3 linked regions of the Daphnia pulex genome follow. The protein of the gene in region 1 interacts with the protein of each later gene in a pairwise test. Links are inferred from orthologs where the notes say so. Each region holds a gene or a part of one and is shown on either strand. Other genes may lie near its edges.

Region 1 (4,195 bases):
TAAAACAAACGTACTCGTTGGATGTCTTGGAAAGCACGGATCAACAGCTGCACCAAACGAGTAATAACTCCTTGTTCTCGCAGCGGAGCGTGGTTAGCAGGGCATAAAGCCAGATTACGAACCAACCCGATCAGAGCTAAACAAAAATGGTAATTATGAGACATTTTAAAAGACAAACTTGCTATAATGATACATACCCTTGATGAGTGGCCAACGAGAGGGGGGTTGCAATAAACGGACAATGACGGGCAGTCCACCACTAAGACGAACAGCATTTTGAGCCATTTCAGCTTCAGCGTGACGTGATGTCATGTGACGCAGAGCACATATCTGTAATTAATGGATTTTGTAAGAACCAACACGTTTGTCATTTTAAAAAGATGGATATATTACGGCAGGTTCGGTGATTTCTTCACGATCGCCAGCATGAATAATGGTGCGAACCAGCGCTTCGATACCACCGACTTGACACACAACAGTCTTGTTGCGTTGGTTGTTGCAAGTCAAGTTAGAGAGAATTCCGGCAGCGCAAGTGATTACGTTAACATCACTAGAACCTAACAACTGAACAAGTCCTTGAAGCAGGGTTTCTAAACCTTCTTGCTGTAAGAGAAAAATAAAGGTATAAGCATTGTCCTTAAGATAGGAGCAGAACATAAAATAATTTTTCTTTTAGAAGATAATCACCTGCTTGGTCGCAGCATCGGAAAGATTGCGGCAGGTCCATAAACAGTTCTGAACTAGGCGATGACTTTGGTGGCCCAAGTGCATTGCCAACGCTTGCATACCTCCAGCTTCAACAATAGCTGGTTTGTTGCTAGAACAGACCGACAGCACTGGGAAAAAAATTTATAAATAAATCACGTACATTAAACATTACGGTTTTTATAAATTACCTTTCAAAACTCGTGAAGTGGTCCACAGCAGCTTTTCGTAAGTATATGACCGAAGAATTCGAACAAGTTCCATCGGCCCCTGTGAAGCTAAAATGATCAACTTGGATTCTTGATTGCCATACGCCAGAATTTGAAGACAATCAGTAACGATTGCCAAGAATTTGACATTGTTGCGCTGAAGGAGAGCAACCATCTTCTGTAAACCACCCGCCAAACGAACGGCCATTTTTGAGCCTTCTTGATGGAGCAGCAAGTTGTGCAGCGTCGTGATAGCATAAAAAAGAACGGATTCCACGGGCGAGCTTTTCGAGATGACAAAAAATAAAAATAAGTAACGTTTGAAGAAAGCCGTCAGTTCGGACACATGAAGGATGAGACGGGACAATACCTCAACAGCTTCACCAAAGCTGGAATTCCCCCAGATTTAAAAATAGCCAACAATCCTTGGCGGTGATGTGATAGGTTGTGCAGGGTACCAACGGCACCTTTGGTTGTTTCCAGGTCATTGCTATTGGACAGTGCTCGAACGAGAGCCGCAATCATCTACGATCAAACGGATATGCATTATGAACTTGGAAAATAATTTTAAAAGAAGTGTAACACAGAGTAATAATAAAATCATAGAAACTTTGGTTGCCTGTGGGCTATTCATGATAGCATGGCGGGACGCTTCCTTCTTGGACAACTGGTGAACCATCATGGCAGCATGAGATACGACAACTTGATCTTCATCGTTCAACAACTTGATCAGTTCGGGAATAGCTCTTGTAGCTAGATCAGCATCATCCTACCAACCCAAATATTATTACTTTAAGCAGTTCAAAATTTTGAATTTCAGCAATAATACCTGATAGTTGATCAAATTAACAACGGCATGTTTCAACATTTGCGACGGTTCGGCTAAACGCTGAACAGCAGTTGGCTGTGTGGTATCAAACTGAGTAGATGGAATTTCCATTCCTTCATCCAGTGTCTCTGGAAACATGGCAGCACGAATACGCTGGGAGCGAGTCTGGTTTAACTGAGCATTCATGTCTGTAACAAAGTATTTGATTAAAACATATACCGCAATAAGAATCAAAAATATTTTATTGTTTACCTTCAACTTGGTCTTGAGTATAACCAGCTGAATAGCCACTTGATCCACCCATGTTAAGCATGACTCCTCCTTCAGAAGTATCCATATCATCATCACCACCTCTTCCAGAGAGTGATGGGGCCTAAGAAGTAAACATTTAGTTCGAAAGGTTACCTTCACTCGCACAATTCACTCAATATTTACCTGAGTGGTTGCCCCACTTTGGATTCCTGAATCTCCTACATATCCAGGTTGCCCAACTCCTTGCCACATCAATGTATGTTCCTTAACGCTGGGCATAGGAAGATCAGCAGGGCTATTGCTAACATATTGCCCATGTGACACTATACATACAAATTAAAGAGTTATAATAGATTTAATGAAAAATTTTAATTTAAAAAAGCTCATACTTGGCCTCCCTTGTGCCTGCATCTGATAACTCATGATGCGGCTGTGTATCGACGACTTTGCGACGAGATAACCTTAAATAAAGAAACGAGGGTAAGAACCAGGGCTAACAAAGTGTCGCAACTATGATGAAGTAAACTGCGTGTTTGACTGTCACTTGAGATTTCGACACAGTAAAAAGCCATTCAAAAGTCGAGAAAATTGTTGTTTGCTTTCGAAAAACATTTTAAGTGTAATTTTAAACAATTTAAGGTCACATACCTTTGGAATTTCGATTTGGTGACAAGAGATTAACAGAGCCACACCTGCCACAATCAGAAAACAAGGACCTGCTTCGTTCTGAAGTACTGACGCGTCTAAAAAGCCCTTAAAGATGGCGGCCATCAGCTTGAAACGGAACTATTTTTTTGGCGTTTTCTGTTTTTCTATGGTAAACCAATAAAACCAAAAACATTTAAATATAGCTTGAAATTACGTATTTAATGTGTTTTATTCCAAAACAAAAAAAAATAATAAAACAAATATTTGTGGGAAAGTCCAATAATATTTTAGAATATTTTTTAAAATTTCTAGCGTAGGAATACATAGCTAGTTTCCCCTGCCCGTTTGTCCAGACGGAAAGAGTGGGAGGGGAATAAAAAAAAGTTTCAAGTTCGGAATGACTCACAAATACCATTGAACAAATGATAAAAAAAAGTGCATTGCTTCTCAAGCAGGTTTTTAACCTCTTCCTTTTTTAATTACCTAGATACAGCTATGTAATAAATAGGTTGGCATTTCAGGGGTAGGGAGCCGTGGATTGCTGTCGATTGGCTAAAGAATAAATCGCCGCAATATGAAATTTCGGTTTTTGTACTTTTTTCCCGATATGCAGCAATGAAAAAAACAAAAGTTCGCTTGCTCGCTTAAGATTACATTAACTTCTTCACCTTTTCCAAACTTTAAATGAAATTCATGTAATGACTTCAAGTATAATGTCAAGTAAAAGTGCCCCATAAATCACATACAAAGAGTGTGAAAGGAATCAAAAGTCTTCGTTACCATGCACACCTGCTTTTTTGTGTGCTAGGAACGACTTCAAACTTTTTTAACCCAAAGAGCTTCGACGGAAACTTAGTCGTTTGGCATTGTCAAAAATATCAACTCGTTTATTGAACAAAAAACGGACATATTAAGGCTGTCAAATTTCTCTGCAGGATGTGCCGTTTTTTTTTTTTTTTAATCTATTCTAGATCTAGTCCTTCGATACTTTATATTGACTTATTATTGCACCGCAATGGTACCGATAGCTAATAAATTTCCCGGCTCATTTTACTGTTAAAGAGTCCAAAGTAACTTGTAACTTTACGATACCATTTTCTGCAACAATCGTCTTAAAAGATATTAAAGGTTATTGGTCAACACTATTTTCAGTGTATATTTCCAAATCATTTTCTTTACAAGGCTGAATTTATACAGCAACATTTTCAGTTTTGTTTTTGAATGGAAAGATTAGTGCTGCGTCCATTTGATACTTTTCAAATCAATCCCTTCTTGGACCATTTCCCAAAGAGGACTAAAAGTGGAGAAAAAACATAATTAACATTTTTAGCAGAAATGAAGGAAGTTATTTGTCGGGGAATTCCAGACCCGGGTTACGGTTCGACTTCTTCGAATTCGGTATTTACCTCATTTCCCGAAGTTTGGTGACTTGATGAATACACTTTTGTGCGGTGTAATCAACCTCAGCTTCGGTGGTGAATCGCCCAATTCCAAATCGAATAGAAGAATGCGCCAAATCTTCTTCAGCGCCAATGGCCCGCAAAACATATGA
Region 2 (11,256 bases), on another chromosome or scaffold:
TATAAGGACATAGAACATTTATAAAAAAAAAGTGGGTAAAAAAAAATACACACAAGTCCACTGCGTATGGTGACTGAAAGATACACAAAAAAAAATTTCATGATCGGGCGACTGTTATTATTAGCAGCTGGCACGAAACCCGTGGTCAAAATCACTAATTGATTTTGCACTTTTGAAGATCTAGTACGACTGCAGGAAGAAGCAGTGCAAACGTAAGGAGAAATGGGTGGGAGAAAAAAAAATTAAGAGTGCAGTGGCTTCACTTCCCTCGAATGCCGTGAACGCACCAGTTTACCTTGAGCCCGAAAAAGCAAACAATAAATTAGTTCAAGGAAACGAGAAAAATCAATCGTCACAGGAAAAATGCGAGTTAACTGGACTAGTTTGCACAGTAGTTCAAAAGATTGCACTGAACATTTTGACTGCGCATTCCCACTTGTCCCCACAACTCTTCCCAAAGAGAAATAAAGAGTCGTATGTAAGGGTAAACTAAAGAACGACTAAGAACATGAAACTGAACAAAAATTTAAAGCAACACTATGAGTAAGCTAATGAGCTACAGAAATCTTGAAGCTCTCGTGCCCATCCCTTATTTAAAAAAAAAAAAAAACAAATCCAATCGATTAGAAAGAAATCGATTCCACAAGGATCGGCATTATCAAACTGAAGTTGATTCCGCCAAAAATGCCAGTGATCAGACAAGCAGCTCCAAACATGCCAGCTGTAGCCGCGTATTCAGGTTCCACCGTTCGTGGGCAATACATCATGGCTAGTGAAGAGTAGTATCCGCTAGTTACACCCAAAAAGATGCCACCGACCCAGTAAGCCCAATCGTTGTCGATAAGAACGGGCAATGCTCGCGTGACGCCCAATGGTTGATAATTGCACAATAAGAAGAATGGGATGAACAAGACTCGCAACACGACTGGAATCCATAACCAGCGAGGTCCCGGCTACAATTATCAAAGAAGGATTATGTAAGACAAACTCTTGTGTGTCCCATTAATAGTTTTGCCAAATCGTTTACGTACCCAAGAGTAAAGTCCAGGCAACATATTCCCAACCATTGCAAAGAAATTAAAGCTGAGAAAACAGCATACGGCTACAAAATATTTTTGTGAAATAATGAAGTTCTCGTCAACCATCTTGACATCTGATAATATAAATTTTAAAATTACAGGAGGAAAACTTTGTTAAAATTTTATAAAAACACCAACCGGAGTAAACGGCGGGAAAGATGGAGAGTGTGACGAAAAAGACGAGGAAAACGTTTAGACATTGCGGAAAACATTTCTTGAAAATCATCCAATAAGGTGGACGGGCTTTAATACCACCTAAAGCGACGCTCTTTTCTTGTTCTTGTCGCTTAATGCGTTGTTCATTATAACGGTAGAATCTCTGTAGCAAACGGGGGAAAAATAAACAAAATCTTCGCATCAAATGCGTTCAAGGTTAACATATGTAGAATGAATAATAAATGCGTACGTTGAGTGGCAAGGCGAAGAAAGAGTCGAAACAGGCCAACAGAATGAAGAGGGCAGCGATGAAATAGTATATGGCCGAGGTACGCGCATTAGGGGCCAGAGCTAACGAAATGACGTTTATAACGGCCGTGAAAGTCCCACTGATATTCTAATATGGAGTGAAAGAATAGAAATTTCAAATTTGAATACGAATTTTTTACTTTACTTCTTAAAACGAACTTACCGAGCCAAGGACGACCGCTCCTGTATATTTGAAAGGAAGCTTGGCGCTCATTCCGTAAATGGTATTTTGATAGATTCCACCAGCCACTGTTGACGCCAAACTTTTTTTTAAATCCTTGACACCACATGACTTTTAATAAAAAAAAAAAAACTTACTGTTTAATATGACCACTGAACCCATCGTAGTCCAGAAAAATGCTCCTGGCCATTGAGATGATTCCAACATAGCCAAAACAACTGTTAAAACGAAAACAGCTACTTCAACGAGAATACCGCCAATAATACGGGTACTTAAACTTCCGCTGTAAAAAAATAAAAATATAATAAATAAAAGATGAAATTTATATTTTAAAAAATATATATAAATCAATAAATAAAATGTATTCTTAATCTGAATCTTAACCACTATTATAACTTTCGATCCAACCAGAAAACATTTGTTATTTACTGAAGGGGCGTACATGATTTATAAAGCGATTCATCTCTTGGACAAACTATTTGAAACTTGATCTTCTTTAAAAAAAAAAATTAACTTAGCAGCGAAAACACTGTACGAGATTCCTGTGATGGATGATTCGATTAACTATGAAAAGCCTTGACCTTGAAGTTATATCTCTTCACTTGTCTATCATCCACCAGTTGCACCAGCGAACAAAACAACTTTAAAAAGAAACGAGAAAATTAATAAGCTTTTATACCCTATCTGGATGAAGATGTTGAGCCAGTTGAAGATGACGTTGGGAACCTGGGAAGCGAAGCCAAGGAATTGAAGAAAGTTGGCAGCATAAGCAAGACTTTGCCCGGTATTCTCTGGTCCAAGTTTGTGAACGACAAAGTACTGTGTGGATTTTTAGAAATGAAGGTTAGTCAATGAAACCCTTCTTGCCAATATGAATTAATTGCAAAACTTACGTCCTTCGCAGTAATAAACATATTCCATGGCATTAATGTGCCAATTCCGTGGAGTATAAAAGTGAGATACACCAAATTCAATCTGAAATACAAACATAAATAGAAAAATAGAAAAATGATATTAATTTAATGGTTTTTCAATCGTCGGACCGTACTGCCCACGCCCTTGATCGTAATCCTACTGTGTTATAAGACACACTTGAAAAGGATATTTCCTTTTTCCTATCTTGACATTGTGAGACGTTGGGAATGAACTAACGTTGACTGGTGTCATCCTAGAGCATATCTTGACAGTTGCTGCGGTATACAATCACAGCTGAGCAATAAAGGGCGGAAATAATGGAAACGTGAATAAGCGGATGAATCTTTAAAAGAAGCAATTGTGAGAATTTAGGCGAATAAGTGTTCGGTTGTCTAATCGAAGCTAGTGCGTGTGGTCTCAACCGATTACCCTCAGGAAACGCTGTTAAGAATGTGCATCAGTAATTACCGATCGGGTGGTGGGTCCATGTCCAAAGCGGCTTTATCCAGATCAGATTCTAGTCCTCGCAAATTCAGCTCTGCAGCCGGTAGATTCCGGTCCTCCCAGCTGGGCGTCAACTTGACCGATTCAGGTCCGCTCTCCAGAAAAGGACGTTTTTCTGCTGCCATTGTATCTGCCATAAAATAATTCGTTTAATAAGGAAATAAGTTCGAGTGCGTCTATGATTGAGCAGTATCTATCAAACTGTAATACATTTATCATTGAAGGCGGCAGTCACCCAAGTATTCACACAAGTGGAAAACATCATTGACTGTTCCTTATAGTAATTTCAATTTTGTGTTTGTGTGTATACATCCACTCGAGTCAACAACTCTTTCACAAACAAACAAATCGAGAAAAGAAACATGAAAAAAAAAAACACCACGAAAGATTGAGTTGCCGAAACTGGGTGGCGGGGACAGTCCCTGTTTAGGCCCAGACAGTTTAAAAATACAGGACTATGCCTTATATACATCACATGACCGCCCATAGAGCTTCGTGTGGATATTCTGCCACCCCAGTCGAAATATTGGGGACTCGTCGTATCGAATAATCAAGATGCAGCAGATAATCTCCAAGTAAACTAAATTATGTCTTCAAAACTATTGCCTACAGGATATCCTTTCAAAGAGGGGGAACATGTTTAAAGATAATAGAAAGGAAAACAATATTTAGCACATTTACAGCTTCTTTTGAGCTGAATCGAAAGCTGTTCGGCGTTCTGTATCATGTGTATACATACACACGTACCAAATAGTAAGGCTGGAGGGGCAACCAAAGAAGGGTCTGTTACTTTTACGTCTTGTGGAAGTTGGGATAAAAACAATGGGAGAAAGGAGCACACCTTTGGGCAGAATTTTGTTTTTGTGAGACTCGACAATCTAAATGATTAAATGCTTGTAGCTCACCGTTATTGACAGCATCGTCGTTCACGTTAGTCTTTCCCATTTTGCTGGCTCAACTGTCGATTGCAAAGCAGACACTGTTAGTAGGTAGGAGCAGATCAAAGGTTCACAATTGGGTGTCAAGTCAAACAATCGATTGAACGTGTTATTCAAGTGATTCGAAAGTCACAGAAACCAGTACGAAATGAGATCTTTGCATGGAGTACTGTAAAACTGGCTTATTGCCCGGTCCATGCTTGGGTTGCAACTGAAAAGAAAGGGAGGCAGACATGCAGCGCTGTGGGTGAGGGACTCAAAGTGGGCGTGTACCTACAAATGCCGCCAGGCCTTTGAATGAGCGTGTGAACCGCCTAGCAGAGGACCTCTAGCGGAAGTTCAATAATCCCTTTCTGCCCCAGATAATGTTACTTCAATTTATTTGATTTACATGAGAGTAAAAATTCCTCTGCTGTTCCGCCCCACGCCTCGTGTTACAAAAGAAGCAATCTCACTCAACACACGCTTTAAGAAATAATTTTGAAAGTCTTAGTAGTCGATAGTTCAATTATTTTCAAAGGAACAATATATATTAAAAAAGAGATCGCATTGCTGCTAGATGACGGTCCATATCACTTTACCGAGTGTCGGAATGATAGCCAGTCAGCAAGTCCCGGGTGTTCAATATCTTGACGGTACAAAACAAAAATTGAAGAGCCAGCGATAAACATGATAGCGATGCATGAAATCGGCCAATCTAGGTTGCAATTGCGTTGAGAAATGACATGTTCGACCGTCAGACCAAAAAAGGTAAACTAAAAAAAAAACATCCGATTGAAACGGATAATTTTTTCTTTAAACCGTGTATGAAATTAGAACACCGATATCAAAACAACACATCGAATGAAAAAAAAAGTGGTTTTTAATCGTATTGATATGATGTCAGGATTGAGAAAAAGGAGATAATTATAAAGGAAACGCTCAAAAAATAATAAAAATTGTTTGAACGGTTACTTAAGGGAACTTATCGCATAAGGTTTGGTTTGTAAATTGTAATTTCGAAGGAATGGATATAATTAAGTCTCTCTGTAGTGGATTGAATGTCGGCCGCTTACAAAATGATGGGAAGGGATCTATTTTACTATTACTAATTTCGAAGCTGTCCAAATCAATTACTTCTTAAATCCGAAAAAAATAATACAGAAATTGTTCTCGTTAAGTCAAAATAAGGGGTGGAGACGCACAGGATTGTAAGAAATGAAATGCGCATTCCTTAATATGAATAGAAGAAAACGGCCGCACTAGCTTTGGCTTTTTTCATAAGCATTGAGCCATGATTTTGACATTTTAGAGATAGGACTTTCATCTAAAAGATTTGAAAGTCCTCCATTCCTATAACTAATTAGGAATGGAAGACGAAATGATAATATTATGATAGATTTTTAGCGCTTCGTCGTAAATGACACATTCGAAGAAAGACGATCGCTCATTCGAAGGGAAAATAAACATAGGCTGAAAATGGAAAGTCGTGGGTCAATGCTGATTCACCGAATTACAAAAAAATAAGCCACTGTACCAACTCGCTTCTGATAGATAGCCCCGTTACTCTAAAAAGAGAATTGGACGTTTGCTGGCGTTGTTTTTCTTCATAAATTCGACCACAAGCTTGCTGGTTTCTTTCTTTTAAACGCTTTCGGCAGGACTTTGGAATTCGCTTAGGACTTTAATAGGGGCGATGTGCTTCTTCTGAGACGCGCGACGAACTTTGGCCCTAACCTCTTCGGGCTTCTCGCGGCGAACTAGTGGCTTCTTTTCGGGTGCCTTCATCTTCCAAACGACGATAGGCGATACGACGGTTGTCTGGCGGCTGGTATACTTCGTAGAAGCCACGTAAGAGGCTTTCACCGTCAAGACGACGGCGTTCATGAGGTTTTTAGCTGCCTGGATGAGGGAAGTAGCACTGTCCAGACCCGAAACAATCAGCTCTCCACTAATGTTTTGTACATCAGCCTTAACCTTAGAGGTGATGTTCAACTGATGGCAGTAAAGAGCAATACGTTGCAAATATGCAAGCAAATCTTGCTTGGTCGATGATTCAGGGCATTGGTCGGCAATCAGACGGGCGAATTTATCTAATTTGGTTCCAGCTTCTGAAATTTTCTTGGCCGCGTTAATTACATCCATTGTAGTTTTAAGGGGTCCACGACCGCGAGTGAAATCCGTCATCTCCATCATAATCATGCACATATGTTTGGCTAGGACGATAATATCGTTTCCGGAGTCGTCCCATTTCGATACTTCTCGATCAAACTTCAACTTTTCTGTGCGGAAGTACTCGACTTGCTGGGCGATTTTAGCCTTGTCTTCTTCCTTCAGTTTACGCATAGCCTCACGTGCAGTGGTGATGCCACTGATATCTGGATATTCGTCCACCATGTAATCGAGCGTGTGGTTACTCGATTTGCTGCGGGTATCAATAGTGTACTGTTCATCCAATTCAACTTCTTCAGGATCAAGTTCTTCGTCGGCGCGGTTCATAAGAACGGCGCGACGGACTTCACGAACACCATCGTAAACCAAACGAGAGGCGTCAATGAATTCGTTTTCATCGACATCACGAGGTGGATTGTTCGACAAGGCGTCGACAGCCATTTCAACTTTTTGTGCGAAGTTAGGCATTACTTGATCGCGTAGAACTTTGACAGCTTCAAGAACACGCTCGGTATAAATGCCAGGTTCGTAATTATCCATTTCAGCGGTGACAACATTGGCCACACGGGAAGCTCTGCCACGAATGGCGCCTGCAGTTCTGTCCAGCGAATCAGGGTCGCCTTCCTGGAGGGCGAGGACGCATTTGTTGACGTCTTCAAGAATATGATTTTCAGAGACGGCCAAAAAGTCATCGATGGTTGTGATATCGTCAACGGCATCTGTCAGAATGCGAACTTGGTTCTCCCATGCATCGCGGAAAATGTCCATATTTTCTTGTGCAACGCGAGAGCGCGGACGAGCTGCCAGAATTCGTGCTGCATTGATAACTTGTGGGCAGAGAGCCTCTATCTGGGAGGCGGCATAGCGGACCATTTTGACACCATCTTCGTTGCCCGACATCGAACAAGCTAAATTAGCTACCTCAACCAATTTGTTGGCATGCTCGAGAAACACCTACGTTAAGCGAATAAAAAGTTGATTTGTGCAAATCCGGAACAAATGAACACCACAATTTTACGAAAACATACCTGTGAATATTCCTCTACTTCCTTCTCATTGCCCGATTTAGCTGCTTCGATCAACACCAAAAGTGGCACATTGGTCTCCAGGAACGAATCTGAGACATGGTCAACCACTGCCTTACGCAATTGACGGCGTAGATCACGAGTCTTACGACACATATGATCAAGGGCACGATCCAGTCCTTCGCTGCGATCCTTTTTGCCCATGTTAGACATGTATTCGCTCAGAAGGTCTTGAAGTGCTTGGCGAACTGCATTGCATTCGGCCACGATACGCTCACGACGATCGTCACGAGTACAGGAAGAGTCCGCCTGGATAGATTCGATAAAAGAATTTCGATTGAAGGTAGTGCACTTCAAAGACATTCAGCCTTCCATACCATTAGTGCAGCACCACTGATTATACTTTCAAGTCTTTCTTCCAGTGATGGGCGCGTACGGATTTCGCTGTATGCCAATGGGTCCATAATTATTCGTTCATCAAAATCGTCGAGAGCTGCAGCCAGTTCTCCAGGCCCATCATAGGGCATTTGAACGGCCGGGTTTCCGACAGTACTCTTTCCTTGTGCCACGTCGGAAATTGCGCTAACAGCCTTTGATAATAAAAAGAATCCTGAAAACCAATTTTTATGAGTAACCATCTAAAAAATTATATTTACCTGGCAAACTTGTTTTAAAACATAGTCCCTGTTAGCTTTAGCTGCTGCTAGTTCAGGGTGACGAACAAAAGCCTTTGAAGCCGTTAGCAGCATCATTGAATGCTTCTTGAGCACAGCTCGAGCAGCAGCCAAATCATCTCTCAAAGCTGGATCTTTAAGTTCTTGTTGACGACGAGCAGCTTGTGCCATCAATTCAGAAGCATTTCTGCCAAACATACGCATGCCTACAACAAAAGATTTTAATGCAATTCTTTTTCAAACGAGGATTTAGCCAAATATACCTTCTTCTAGTTCAGCTTGGCTTGAGGCTCCACGCAAACGCTCAAGATCGTCTTCAACTACTCGAAGGGATTTAAGTAGACGATGAACATCCACCATATCCGCAAGGATTAGAAGACGAGTCACAGCAGATAACAGGTTACGTGCTGCCCGAACCATGTTTCCGCGCTTTAGGGACGAACATGGGTCTTCGGCGAACTCGCGTGAGGCAACACTCATGGTCTCGCCTGTTTTTCGTACTTCGTCAACTGCAGCCAACATTTCTTGCTGGATGTCTGGATTTTCATAAGCAATCTGTTCACCGCGTTCGATAAAGTTGCCTGTTGCTTTCTCTACAGCCGCTACGAGAACATGAGCTCTTTTCGAACGGCCTTTCTTTTTCTTTGAAGAACCTTTTGTGTTTACTAGAGTCGTAACCTAGATAAGTAATGAAATAAATATATATATAAAATAGATTACAGGAATTTTATAAAAGGTACAAAGAGAAGCAAATCGTGCAAACACACAAATTAAATATAAGGAAGCAAAGAAGAATTTCAAATAGTTTCCTTCAATCAGTAACTGTTTTCCCTGAGGCAATGCAAACTCTTTACCTGGATAACCAATGGCTCCAATGTACGTTCCACCGATTTCGTCTTGATCTCCAAGTTTTTGGGATCCCATTTCAGAGTAATGGGAGCCAAGTCTTGGCTATTTGAATTATTTTGCATTGCAGAAACTTTTGAAGTATTCAACAGCATAGACTTTCTACTGGAACATAAGGAACTAAAGAAAAAATAAACAAAACAAAAACACAATTCAAACTATGCATGCAATTTATACAACAACTTAGTTATGAACACATCATGCCAAAGAAACAAAAAAGATGCAGCACGACCTAATGACTCTCCTCTACACATCCAGAGGCTTTTAAAGTGTAGTGCTACCTGAATCACTAATGGTTCCAATGTTCGTTCCACAGAAGTGGTACGAATTTCAAGATTTTTGGGATCCCATTTCATAGCTGTTGGCCCATGGGCCTGGTTGGGGATTCCCATGTAGTCCAAACCCGGAACTGGCATGACAGGCATCTCAAATCCAGATATATTGTATAATGTACTATACTTACACAAAGATTTAATTTTCAACACATAAAACCAAGATTAGATCTGTGGAATTTTGAATGATGAATGAATACTTGAAAATTGTTTTAAAATAGCATCTTCTGAAATACTTTATGAGTCATAGCATGGCATAACCACTCCTTACAAACTAATAAACATGTTATACATCTTTAGAAACTTTTGAGTGTTTACCTTTATCTTAGCTTTCAAAGGTGACTGAATGTTTTGAACCACAACCGAAGTACTTGTCAGACTGTAACAAGAAAACTACAGCGGCTTACAACTCCACTAATAATGGCTACGTATAACGGGCGGAAGCTGTGTCACGACAGTTTTTCCCGTGGGTCGAGAAATGATGTCAGTTCCGGTCTAACGAAAATTTCCGAAGCCACTCCCAACATAAGCGTTATCACTGCAAGGAAATAGTAAAGAAGGCGAGAGTATAAAACGGCATTCACAATATGCGGTCCCAGCCACCAGGTGGCAGCAAAAAGTCTGACTCCACCTGCTGGCGGCTGCATGTGTTAATAATTCAATCAGATAAACGTGTCCATCTGGCGACTGGCAAGTCTTTAAATAAAAATGAAAAAATGAAAAAATAAAAAAATAAAAAAAAATATTTAGAAATATGTAGTAATGAAAAAATGCAGGACAAGTTGAGGATATATTCAGACACGATAATAATAATATGTACATATTTGAGAATTGAGAGACTTTTAAAAAGTGGAAATATTGATTTCAAACAACTGCGAATTACCGAGAACATATAACAGACTCAATAATCGAACGTTTAAACAGCTTTTAGCTTTTGTAACAAAGCATTTTTATAAAGAAGTACATGATTGAATTCACAAATCACAAATGAGAAATTTGGCTAGCTGCTGACGAGTTGGAAACTCCCGAAAGGAGACGAATTTGCTCTGAAGACTCGATATGCTGTTTTTCAGCATACAGTTGACTATATTTTTCACAAGCATCCACATAATACCTAAATTAAAAAAGTTTAAGATAAAAATATTCTAAATCAGAAAAATTAAATCTATAATACCTATAGTTCATCATCAGCCCAAATGAATTTTTTATGCCTCTTGGTGAAAGGTCGGATGCCCAATTCAGCTGAAAACCAAGAAAAATTTCCATTAAGAATCCAGCAAATTAAAAATGACATTTAAAATAACTTACTCTCCACATCATCGCTCCATTCCGCAAATGAAAATTAGCTAGAAGAGAACAAACGATAACTTAATTGGTTAGCAAACATTGAAGGCAAAACTAAAGACTTACCAACACTGTCCAATGCGAAACCTCGCCTCTTCTCCACAAACAGATAATGAGCACAGAGACGCATTAAGGGATTTTCCATCAATTTAGCTTTCGCTTCTTCCCTCATCCATGAACTATCCACTAGCAAACTGCGGAGCATCCCGAGCGGATTTTCTTTGGTACTGTTAATTAACTGAAGAGCCGTACCCCAATTAAAATCAGTTAAAACTGTTTTTCGCCCACGTTCAGTTTCCCGAAGCTGCTGAAGCAGCCAAGACCGGAAGCCCGGTATAGGAGAAAGCGTTGAATGTTGCTGTAGAGATGGAATTTCCGTTTGTAACTCCCGAAGAGCTCTTTTTATCAAAGATTGACCTAAATCTATCCCCTAGAAAACAAAAAGTTAGCTACTGACAGAAGGGGATAAAAATAACCTCTAGCTGCTTACTGCGAGGCCTTTTTGAGTTGAGCTGATGCTGTAAAATATTGCTGTGTTTACACGATCTATATCTTCAACATCAATATCTGCCAACCTGGAACCATCTGTCTCGGAATCAAATGATTGGCTCAAATTCCGCGTAATAATTGTATGGATGTTGTTGGATATCTCGTTTGTCAATGCGACGTGCAAAATGGCCAATGGTTTCTTTGGTAAAGCAGGATGTAAAAGTATGAAACATCGCCGATAAGGGCCGAGGCG
Region 3 (11,192 bases), on another chromosome or scaffold:
AACGTTTGCGTATTAGTAATGCTTCAGATGAAGTGGCGGTTTTATTTGGGCGGGATGGAGATAGTGGTAGACGAGGAATCGGAGTTGAACACATGTCATTCCTTATCTTTCAGAGAATACTCGATGGATGTGTACAAATCAGACGATTGCGAAGTTAAAAAAAAAATATTCTGGCTAAGGCAAATCTTCCAACATTTTTTTTTCTTAAATTAGTTTTTTTTTTGGCCCAGACAAAGTATAAAAAGGAAATGCAGGAGGGAAGAAAGAAGTCTCAGCGCGACAATTAAACAAATATTCATTCATGCTGGAAAAAGGGTAAATTACTACGACACGATTGTTGCACGCTTCTCAAAATAAAAGAGAAAAGAAATAAAAGAAACTCGATTTCTATCAAAAGACAGGAGTTAAGAGAAAAAACAACGCGTGAATCGATGAAAAACGACAATGACAAAAATAGAACTGACATCATACAAAATAAAAGACAGGGCTGAAGATTTTGAAGGAGGGTAATGTTAAGCTGCAACATAAACTCAGGTTCATTTTAAAGAGTTTTTTTTTGTAAAGTTTTCAAGACAATATCTTTTCCATAACATCATCAATTCTAATCGACAAGCTTGACGATACCCAGCACTTTGTCTTCCCAGAGTGGTAGAATCTCAGAGTCGTCAATAACCTCCTGATTGACTGCCATCGCTACGTCGTCCTCGCAATTCGTCTTAAAGTAGTACCTAATTAACAAAAGATGATTAGAGTACAAAGCTTTGTGAAAAATAATTAAGAGTCTTCCTTACTTGTAGTTTCCTTTTTTGGGCACACAAATTTCTTTGAATTGCTTGAGCGTGACAGTTCGTCCAGGTATCCGGCTGCGGTAGGGCACGGGCTCATCTCCAAAAGTGAACGTCACAACAGTGCATTCTGTTGGGGCTGAGCTTCCTTCACCTGTGAATCAAAATGGAATGAGTGGGGGCGAACAACCAACGCTGCTGAATTGTTCCTTGTTTACCTGAGAGAGCTCCACTACTTGCTGGTTTCTTCATCGTTGTCGAGTGAGTGGAAGTTGGCTGTGATACGCTAGGTCTAGAATGATTGGATCAATAAATGAATCAAATAAGTGAATTTAGTTTTCGTTTTATTAAACTTACTTTGGCTTGGTTGGAGGACGATTTCTAGCCATATCGTCTTCACTTTGCGTTAAATGACCGGCGGAAGCTCCAGCTCGTTCCAGCGATTCCGACCTCGAAGTCCCGTAAGCGGACTTGTGTTGCCGACTCCTTCTGGAAGAAATGGGTGAAGTCGAACTCGGTGGACGCGACCTAACCATCAAAAAAGAAATTGTTAGAGATCCACCCGATTAGGCCTGAGTTGATTAAACAATTACCTGTGCTTGCTGGAAGACGGATCTCTATCAGCTTCTTGCCATTTGTCATTGGTGCTGATCCAGTGGAGCACTTTTTCCTTGGGTGGCTGTGAAGGCGGTGCCATTAGTGTTCCAGGATTAGGGTCCGTATGGAGGCAAAGACCACTGTCATGGACACGATCGTATTCTGATTTCTTGCTGCCGATGGCACTGCTAGCTCCCCCAAGAGAGGACGTCATACCAATCCGGCGCGTATCAGGAATTGATTGCGACTTGGAAAAGTGAGCTCGATTTTCTCTTCCGCTGTCACCTTGATCGAGAATCGCACCCGAGTCTGCTGAGTAGGTCGAACCCTTTTCGATATCCTGAAAATTAAAATATTCCGTAAAGTCCCAGTTCACGAAGAATTAGAATTGAATAGACATTTACCTTGTCTTTTCGCCGATGATGGGCTGAGGAGCGTTGGAAATAGCCGGGTCCATATGCAGAAGAGCTCATTATTGGTGGCCCACTGGTTTTCGTTGGAATAGCCACAGAATTCGGTGGCAATCGACGCCGGTTCTCTGGAGACCACGGCCGAGGTGAAGGTGCACCGGGTGATCGCAATGGCGTCTGATCTGCCCAGATTCTTTGGACGTGGTTATCTGTAAAAATAATAATATTCCACTCGATTAAGATAGAACTTCACAACAGATCAAATCGTGCACATTACCGAGAATCGATTGTGTGTCGGCTTCATTTGAAGAAGCGATTTTGGACAGTGCTTCTGCCAAAACACGAGCTGAGCATTCAGATCCGGGTTTGAAGCGGGCGCCTTGCGGGCATGGCTCATCCAATCCACTGGCTTCACTATCCCTCTGTATGAAAACAAATAGTTTTTGCTTAAAATGCACTTTGGCTGTTTAAAGAGAAAACGTGGGAAAATGCCACCAACCTCAGCGACAATCCGGAGCAACTTTTCTTCAGATTCCCGATCTCGTTTAACGGCTTCCAACTTTTGGATGAGCTCAGCGGCGAATTCTTGCGGCGTCTTGGGCATCACCTGCTGCGACCAAACAAGAAAAAACATTCCCTTTTTATTTAAAAAAAAAAACCTGATTCAGTCGTGATGAATGTCGAGGTGTATAACCTGTTCTTTGGGTGGAAGACGCTGAGTTCGCGGGATGAATGGCTGGTTTATAGACGGATCACGATTTCTCATACAGTCGTTTGAAATCTTTTGCCGAGCTTTGCGCAGTTGGTGCCGGTTAGGCTTGGCCGGGTAAAACAGGACAGAACCATCGCTATAAAACGACACGTTTGTTACAAGTTAATGTTGAACGAATAATTACTGAAATAAAATTGTTTGCAGGCTCTAAAACATTTAAAAAATATAACTAAAAATAAAGAAACATTCATTCGAAATTCTTACACAGAACCATCGGTCAGTGAGCGAGTGTCGTCCGTATGAGCATCAGAGGATATCTCGGAATCCTGGCGTGAAACGGGATTGTACGGCGCGTAATAGCTGGTTGTGTGCACGGAGTGATATGGGTTGTGGGGCACTCGACTACTACCCCGTAAATAAACGTAAAGAAAAAAACGGAAACCGAAAAAAAAAAACGAAATAATAAGTGAATTGAAATAAGAATCATAACGGCATTCCAATTAAATAAAAATTCAGGCAAAAGTTTGAAAAAAAAATAAAAAATGAGAAAGAAAGAAATTGATCATGCAATTTTTCAAAGACATTCTATAACGATGACTCACCTTGGGTAGAGGCCGCCTACTGGTCGGGATTCGACGTTCATCCGGACATTCTTGGTGGCCATGAGAGCGTCATGCGTCAGTGGGATTGGCTTGTTGAGCTCGACGGCAGGATAAGAGAATTCAGAATCTTCGTGCAAAGTAGGCAATGGCCCTAGGTGAGGTCCTCGATCATCTGAAGCGCCCGTTCCGGCGAGATCAGGGGCGACGGAAGATTTGGCGGTGATGTCTGAACCTCCTCCTTGACTCCGGCCGCTTCGAGGCGAATCCGGGATGCCATTTTGCATAGACTAGATAATTTATAAGAGGACGTAAAATGAGATAGATGTCAAAGCGATGAAAGTGATCGACTCTTTACTTGAATGTAAGATAAATAGACGTCCGAATTTAGGAAGTTGACGTAAACTGAGCTGCGGATAAGATCTTCGACATCCTTTTGCGCTTCGTCAAAGATATGCGCGTCAAGGGTAGCTTTGTTGGCCACTCGGTCGTTAATCTCACGCCGATTCAGTTCCGACACATTGACCCTTTTGAGCCGGATGTACTTTTTGTAAATGACTTGGATGATTTGGACAGCTTTTTCGGGATCTTCTGCCCAGTTTCGTTTGAGGCCTTCGCAGGCAAACCAAAACTGCAAAACAAAAAATGAGTGAAAAATACGAAAAAGAAATTGCAGTTGATGGGGACATACTTTGAGTAAATGAGAACAATTTTCCTGTTCGAGATATTTTTCAAAGAGTTCGACGCCGTCGGGATCGGTCAGGAGGAAATGAAGATTTTCAGCCCATCGCAAATAGGGCGGCGTTTCGACCAAGGGTGGAGACGTGGAGGCCGATCCTTCAGCCGGTTCGTAGCGGCGAGCCAAGTCGTTCTCGTCCATCGACTGGCCATGTCTGCGAGGCGTCAGGACGGGTGATGAACCTTTGGAGGGCGACAGCGTCGAAGGATGCGACGGGCCCCGCCTTCCGAACCGTGAAGCCCATGGATCCATCTTCACCTGACTTGACGGCACATTTTCTTCACCTGAATTAAAAACGCAACAACATTAGAATGAATGTAATAAGCACACACAAAGGCGACCAGTTGGATCATACCTGGGAAGACAGGGGGTCGAGGAGCAGATTCCGAAAAACGAATCACAGATCCACCTCCATTCATCACTTAACACTGTACAAGTTCGTTGTAGTCAACGGACGATAAATAAAACAGGAGCAGCATCACCTGGACACGAAAGAGATGCAACGAAATGGTTAGCACACATTTTAACATGGCCAGAAACTCGAATCACAACTTGATGTCACTGGTTAGAGCAAAAACATCAACATTGGACTCTTCTACTGAACCGAAGTTGGCAATTTCACAAAATAAACTAAACTCTGCTGCCACAGCAACTGTGTGTAGAGAATCCATCCAGAGAAATTCGTTCCCAGATCCCATATCCGGCTTTGGAAGACCCACTCTTCCGCCCACCAGCCCCCCCCTCCTCTTCTAGCCCCCCTCCTCACCATCAGAAAGCAAAAAAAGAAATAACTGCAAGTTTTTGGTGGGTAAGCATTGATTGGAATCGTTGGAGCGCGAAATATAATCTGACAACGTAACAATGAGTAGGGAGATTTTTCATTTTTTGGTGAGTGCAAGATAACAATAGGAAAAAATGGACTACAATAGAGATGGAAAAAACGGAGGTTGCTTACCAGGCAGCATCTAGTTCCAGACTGGTGAAATAAGAGGGGTGAAGCGAAGGAGGAGTTGGTTTCTTCTATGAGGCACGCTATGAATAAGGCACACTGCGACGAATCACTACTGCATCAACATAATTGGACGGTCTGTGGGGGTTGCAACTATTGGGTCGATCTCTTCAGTCCTTAATGAGGCCCGATATCTTCACATGAGTGGTCCAATTGTTGTCACGGGTTCTGGATGAAATCCTGTAATACAAGAGTACAAGAGTTATCGACCAGTTTGTTAACCATAAGCAGAAGCTATTGTGTTTTCCACTACTCAAATGTTCACAATATTTGACAGCTGGAAAAAACTGGATGAGAGCCCCTGGATTACAAATGAGAAGGGAGAGAAGAGTGAAATTGCTCTCCGAGTTCTCCCCACTCACTACAAAAGCTCTCACCAGGTCGATCAATACAGACTCTGCTCACAATCCTGACAAAAGAGTGATGCCTCCCCGTAGTCAAGACTTGCATTTCATTTTCCATCACATTCAATAAGTCTGAGTGGTAAATGGAGTTGCCTAGATTGCAAATAATCACTGGGCACGCGAGTCTAGGTAAACCCATCGCTTGCCCATTGTCACTTTTTCAGATGTGTATGCAGTAGGGGCATAACCTAGGGGCATCACTCTGTCAGATTTCTGTTTCTCCTCTTAATTTACCTTTTCCATCGAATTTTCACTCGAATTTTTTCAGATTAATTTCGGCCGTCGTGTCAACAACGGGCCACAACTCAGGGAAAGAAACAGAAAACACAAAAAAATGAAATAAATGAAACTCGAAAAAAAGACGGACGGCTTCTGCTCAACTCCAAACAACTCAGTTCCCATTCCCCCTATATCGTATCGAGAAACGTACACCCGATGTCTATATATCGATAGTTGGCTAGAAATCGATTCGCCAAGACATTCTTCTTCCTCACAAGTTCCTTTATTCTTTCTTTCTTTTTCTTCAGCTTTTCGCCATGACTTTGCAGGTGCCGACATTCTTTCACAAAAATCGCCTAATGATCTTTACTTTTTTTTACATTGGCAATAATCTTATGCATACATCTCGAGTGTTGCCTGCATAATGCTTCCATGAAAGGGCATCAAAGTGTACCGAACAAATAACACCCAAAAAAGAAGAAAAGGGGGGAAGCCTTGGAGCGGGTTCATGTAACTCAAATTCCTTCCTTCTGTGGAAATGTCGCCTCTGCTGTATTTATATATATATTTTCTAAAAAGCGATTGAGTTGTATATATAATATCACGTCAAAGTTAAAAGCTAGATCAATCCAGCCAGGTCGATCTACGCCTCCTGGCGTTTTGCCCTCACCTGGATTCGTTGTGTGCCATCAAGACATCATGTCGGTCTTGTACCTACTCTGATGATTGCCCTTAATGGTGGTTACATACATTTTCATAGGACTAGAGAGGGTATTCTTCTTCGGCGGTAGCCACCACACACTCAAGGTCTTCACGTCGGGCCAAGAAGAAAAAACAAGCCGCGCGATAATCAAGACTATGTGTTAAAAAAAGGAAGGCGGCGGTGGCGGCGGCGGCGGCCTTTCTTCTATTGACCCGCGGCTCTTTTTTGAGTATATTTCAAGTTAAAAAATAGAAAAATAAAAAAAAAGGCTTTTAACCAGCAGCATGCTGGCTTGCGGGGTTCGAGATGTTGATGTCATCTATCTCTTTCTTCAAAATGCTGGAGAGAATGTGTTGTCCGGGGAAAAAAAAACGAAATTCCATTGCCGACGACGTGTCAAGGTAAAGTGACTCTTGGTCGATTACGCGACCAGCAGCAGATGGATTCAAGCCAACAAAATGCCGCAGCATCGTAAATATAGATCAGCTCTTTTTCTTATTATTATTAGGATAGGATGGTGGGAATTGTTGTCTGCTGCCGCGCGGCGAAATTATCAAACGGCGGCGGCCGCCCAAAAGGAGGAGGAGGAGGCCACTTCCGCCGACAGCCAAGTTGATGGATGTCCCGGATCAATTTGCATCCGACTCAATTGCATCTTATATAGTATATTATAATAAAAGATGGATGTTCTCAAAATATATCTACCTACCTGGAATCAAATCGAAGCTGCTGCTGCTGAAGTCGGCAAATTAGTTCCACCGTTGGACCAAAAGATGATGGATGAACAACAACAACAACAATTGCACTTCACCGCGGACACGTCTAAACACCTCGCCGACCAACTCCTTTCTTATACCCCCACCAGATATCTGTGTCATTCGGGTAGGAAAAAAAATAAAGATGGATCTGATATTTATACCGCGAGTTAAAGGTCTTGCCACATTTTGAGGCTTTTATCTGCGCTCAAAATTTTAAAAAGTGGCGGCGGCGGCGGTTTGGTCTATTGGTCGCACTCATTTGTCTCGCACGATGATGATGATCACTCAGCGGACCCTGGGCAGTCTAACTGTGCAGCAGCAGCTTCATTGGGAATTATCTCTCCTACACACATACACACACACACATACAGACACGGGGAAATCAGATTACACACTGGCGCGCGAGCGCGGCGGTTTCTTTTTTAACTTTTGGGGTAAAGAGGAAAGAGAAAAAGAGCCGCGCTACTCCAAGATAAGAAAATCTTAAATGAAAGAAAAGAACGCGACATCTTGGCGGCGCTAGTCATTAATACTGATGCGCCATGGATATATAGTGCATCCGTTGTATACAAACAACGAGTATTATTATTATTATTATTATTATTATTTGGAATTTATTATTTTATAAGAAAAAGAGGGGGTCTTTTATGTTCATTAATGCGCTAGCAACGCCAGATTTTATCATCGACTTTCATTAGGGAAAAAATAAAGAATTTGAGTCATCGAGATTACTGGCGATAAAAGATGGATTGATTCGCGTTTAATTCCGGCCTATAAATGTCGTCCATGTCTTGATATATGAGTCACACACAAGAATAAATCTACGCAATCTTAAGAGCTCAAGAGAGAATTGATTTCATTTTGATTGACACTCTCTCCAGATTAAGTTTCGAATGGTTTAAATGACGAGAGAGGATATAGTATTATTTACTTCTTCTTCAAACACCGTAATATAACGGTAGATGTGTACATCAAGTCATCAAATCCTGCCCCGTAAAACTGCCAAGTCACATTGAAATGAAGATTTTTCCCTTTTGAAAAACAATTTTTTTGTTTATCCCTTTCTTTTTTCAAACAGATTCCAAATCTTTTAATCGCCTGTAGCTTCGTGTGGGTTCAAGAGTGAAACACTTTTACGATATCTGCCGCCTTTTATAATAAATCATCGACACTTTGAAATCTTCACTAAAGCCTTTGGCCATGAAGTACGTACACAAGGATAACTAGGAGGACGTCTAGCGGTCCAACTTTGGACTCGGTTTTGAAAACCTTTGCTTACGTCACACGATATGGAAAAATTATAATAAATAAAAAAAAAACGCTTAGATCGGCTGAATCGACACACATTGATCGGAAAACATATGTTGCGAAATAATACGGACTTTGCTATTTGTCCCCCGCGCAAGACCTTTGAATTATTGACCAGTTCCGGATCAATAACTATTGCGGATGAGTAGTATATTATGAATGAATTTTGAGCAATGAGTTTTCGGGCTTTCTCCTGATGGGTGCACGCAGGTGCAGCCAAATCTCATTATCAGTTTGAATAGATTATATGATTTTCTTTGCGGGAAATCGTATTACACACAAAGGGGGTGGAATCACGCAAAGTGTTTCAAGGCGATAATTATGAGCTTGCTCAATTCATTCATCGTTATGTATTTGTTCCGATTGAGGTATACTATAGTGATTACTTTGTTAGTGAGACAGACCCGTATGATGTTACCGACCGTTTTGAGCAAGACAGGTAGACAAATCTATTTCGTGACATTAGATAAACGTGTGTATATAGTATGCTAAAGGTGAAAGAACATTTGTTTCGCAGTAGCTGCTGTTGACCAATGTTTCGATTTGACATCGAACCGGTATAACCGAATATCTATAATATCTTTGTGAAGTGACGAAATTTAACCTTTCTTTATCTTTTTCTCATATGAAAACTTTTTACCGTGTTTTACGCATCAGAACCCGGCTAAGATCACGGTTCAAGATTTTGAAATACAGAAATGGAATCTTGTACAAATAATATAATGTTCGTTGGACCGGATTTCTTTCCGCAAATAAAAGACGTCACCTCTTTGGTGAATCAATTTCCCGATAGTGATTCTACATATGTCCTAGACGAAACTGTCCCTTCCACCATTCGATAAAATGGCGCTGTCCTCACAATATTTTATTTTAAAAAAATTAAAAATATAATTTATGTGACAATGAGACAGGGAAGATGATCGCCACTCAAATTTCTTTCAAAATAAATAAAAACAAAGATAGAAGATTTGCGCAAGTCAGGGAGCCTTTGTTTAAGTAAACACAAATGTACCATTGTACCTAGTGTGAATGTTAACCGTCAGCTTTAGTTTTGGAAGGGTGGGCGACATTAGATGGCGCGTCTCTTAAGTCATCGGTCAGACCGCGTTCACGACCAAGTCATTATGCATAAGAGAAATATCGTGATAAATTAACTTTGGGACTCTCAGGTTAATTTTTAAAAATATGGCAACACCTTAAATCTGCCACTGTTTACCAAAAATTTTAAAATCAAGGGAGGAACTTAAGTGAGGATGTAATCAAAAATGGCAGATTGAAATCGTTGAAATATCCTTTTTTTAAAATCTATAGCCTTCTTCAGTCAAACTGGTAATGGGCGGTGTTTGTATAGTTGTACAATCCCCGTGTCCAGAAGCTTGATGAGGAAACAAGAGAAGTAACTGACAACTTCTGCTGCCAAGCTGCACAGCCAGCCATCTCCACCGTAAACGCACGTCAAGAACAGGTCAAGAAGTGTGATAGACTCATTTAAAAAGGGTAATATTAAACCCCCCAGAAAATTATGAATAGCACATACCATCGAATTTAAGTACATACTACCATAAATGATGAGGAATAAGAAAAGGTCAAACAACACGATTGAGATTATATATGGGACAGAACCCGATTTATTGAGAAAAAGAACGAATGAAAAAAAAATTAAAAAACCGAAGCTAATAATGAAAGAAACTGAACCAGCCCTACAATCGATAATGGTCAACTTGCTCGGCTGTCTCCATCGTAACTTACCGTAAAGAATTGGTGGACTCATTTAAGGGTAATTAAACCCCCTGTCAAGGTAGTCAAATGTTACACTGACATGTAGGGTGAGGACAACCTACTTCTCTGACTGTTAGAGGAGTTGTATTGTGTAAGCACTTTCGTACTTCCCAATGACAAATCATCTTGTGCAGTTCAAAGTATATTCAGAAGTCCCCACGCACAACAGCGACACACCAACTCCATTGACAGGTTCACCCACCATTCCCTTCCGGATTGTTACGAGGAGGGAGCGTCATCACAAATCAACAAATATCAATCGCAAGACTGACATTCAGCTTCTAACATTACTTAACTTCGGTAAAAAAACACAAAAAAACAAAAACCAAATCAACTGCAACTCATCCAAAGAAAATCGAAGATTAAACATAAGGGCGGCTTTAATTCCTGTAACGTTTCCGTTCTTCAAACGCTTTATAATCCCACATTTTCTTCTCTGTTTTCTTGATCTCCGTCATGTCTAACCAGCTGTCGTATTGGTACCGAAGTCTCGGTTCTATTAATAAGTCCTTTGCACGATTAAGTGCCTGGCTTAGTCGGTTTGCCTTCATCAACGCTTTTTCAACATCATCTGTTTGTATCTGATTGACCTTGTCCGGATGGGCTTGTAGAATTTTCTCTTTGTAGGACTTCATGATTTTTTCGTCGGTGTCTGTCCTTTTCACGTTCAGAATCTTGTAGTAATCTGGTAGCGCGTAAGAGCTGAGCTCTAGTTCGTCCACAGTGTCGTTCAATTCGCAGTTTTTCTGTGTCAACTCGGCAACCCTAGACTCCAGCTGCATCAAGTGTTCGTTTTGTTCATCGATTACTTTTGAATACCTCGTATCCATTTCTTCCATCTCAGTGCGGTGGTTTTCTTCGCATTCATCAATTATAGAGTACAACTCTGAGATAATTTCTTCAAGTTCATTGTTTTTGCAGTTTCTGTTGTTAAGCAAAGTTTGGTAGTATTGTCGAATTTTTCCGACGCTTTCCTGGTGGTCGCTTTCTAACTCCTGGATTTTCTTCTTTGACAAGGCTTTTTCTTCCTCAAGTTCTTTTGCTTTGCTGTCTAGTTGGAGGACAAGCTTTTCGTTTGCGCTTTGAAGAATATTACGGGCAGCGTGGAACCCTCTCATCTTTCGTTGCATAGATGTATTATGAGCGCATATCTTTTTGTACTGATCTTCA

What was found.
Region 2: the proteins of armadillo segment polarity protein-like (region 1) and catenin alpha-like interact in binary tests that used the Drosophila melanogaster proteins (3 or more experiments, as listed by UniProt). The link is inferred for Daphnia pulex from reciprocal best matches to the Drosophila melanogaster genes arm and alpha-Cat.
Region 3: the proteins of armadillo segment polarity protein-like (region 1) and axin-like interact in a two-hybrid assay, tested with the Drosophila melanogaster proteins (2 studies listed by BioGRID). The link is inferred for Daphnia pulex from reciprocal best matches to the Drosophila melanogaster genes arm and Axn.

Annotation. Positions count from the first base shown.
Region 1 is NC_060020.1:4,722,842-4,727,036, forward strand, and holds the start of armadillo segment polarity protein-like, read right to left. Parts: upstream 2,801-4,195; 5' UTR 2,644-2,800; intron 2,457-2,643; 5' UTR 2,419-2,456; coding exon 2,385-2,418; intron 2,319-2,384; coding exon 2,179-2,318; intron 2,117-2,178; coding exon 1,996-2,116; intron 1,932-1,995; coding exon 1,744-1,931; intron 1,684-1,743; coding exon 1,525-1,683; intron 1,440-1,524; coding exon 1,285-1,439; intron 1,199-1,284; coding exon 897-1,198; intron 837-896; coding exon 688-836; intron 604-687; coding exon 394-603; intron 331-393; coding exon 198-330; intron 137-197; coding exon 15-136; intron 1-14. Other genes in the region: cysteine desulfurase, mitochondrial-like, read right to left, coding at 3,874-3,937, 4,050-4,195. UniProt on the Drosophila melanogaster protein: Isoform neural may associate with CadN and participate in the transmission of developmental information. Can associate with alpha-catenin.
Region 2 is NC_060018.1:3,368,903-3,380,158, forward strand, and holds catenin alpha-like, read right to left. Parts: upstream 9,795-11,256; 5' UTR 9,489-9,794; intron 9,292-9,488; exon of another isoform or gene 9,264-9,291; coding exon of another isoform or gene 9,120-9,263; intron 8,959-9,119; 5' UTR 8,934-8,958; coding exon 8,787-8,933; intron 8,611-8,786; coding exon 8,196-8,610; intron 8,139-8,195; coding exon 7,915-8,138; intron 7,849-7,914; coding exon 7,636-7,848; intron 7,568-7,635; coding exon 7,262-7,567; intron 7,188-7,261; coding exon 5,706-7,187; 3' UTR 5,675-5,705; downstream 1-5,674. Other genes in the region: equilibrative nucleoside transporter 1-like, read right to left, coding at 624-953, 1,032-1,153, 1,218-1,398, 1,486-1,632, 1,708-1,793, 1,863-2,008, 2,405-2,544, 2,619-2,700 and 2 more; malonyl-CoA decarboxylase, mitochondrial-like, read right to left, coding at 10,152-10,284, 10,345-10,412, 10,479-10,516, 10,581-10,944, 11,005-11,256. UniProt on the Drosophila melanogaster protein: Associates with the cytoplasmic domain of a variety of cadherins. The association of catenins to cadherins produces a complex which is linked to the actin filament network, and which seems to be of primary importance for cadherins cell-adhesion properties.
Region 3 is NC_060025.1:2,836,109-2,847,300, reverse strand, and holds the start of axin-like, read right to left. Parts: upstream 7,038-11,192; 5' UTR 6,887-7,037; intron 5,712-6,886; exon of another isoform or gene 5,490-5,711; intron 5,452-5,489; exon of another isoform or gene 5,229-5,451; intron 5,032-5,228; 5' UTR 4,798-5,031; intron 4,325-4,797; 5' UTR 4,262-4,324; coding exon 4,198-4,261; intron 4,127-4,197; coding exon 3,795-4,126; intron 3,735-3,794; coding exon 3,462-3,734; intron 3,394-3,461; coding exon 3,107-3,393; intron 2,910-3,106; coding exon 2,769-2,909; intron 2,641-2,768; coding exon 2,487-2,640; intron 2,403-2,486; coding exon 2,292-2,402; intron 2,215-2,291; coding exon 2,070-2,214; intron 2,002-2,069; coding exon 1,787-2,001; intron 1,723-1,786; coding exon 1,379-1,722; intron 1,314-1,378; coding exon 1,143-1,313; intron 1,078-1,142; coding exon 1,004-1,077; intron 940-1,003; coding exon 792-939; intron 729-791; coding exon 602-728; 3' UTR 1-601. Other genes in the region: uncharacterized protein MCAP_0864-like, read right to left, coding at 10,403-11,192.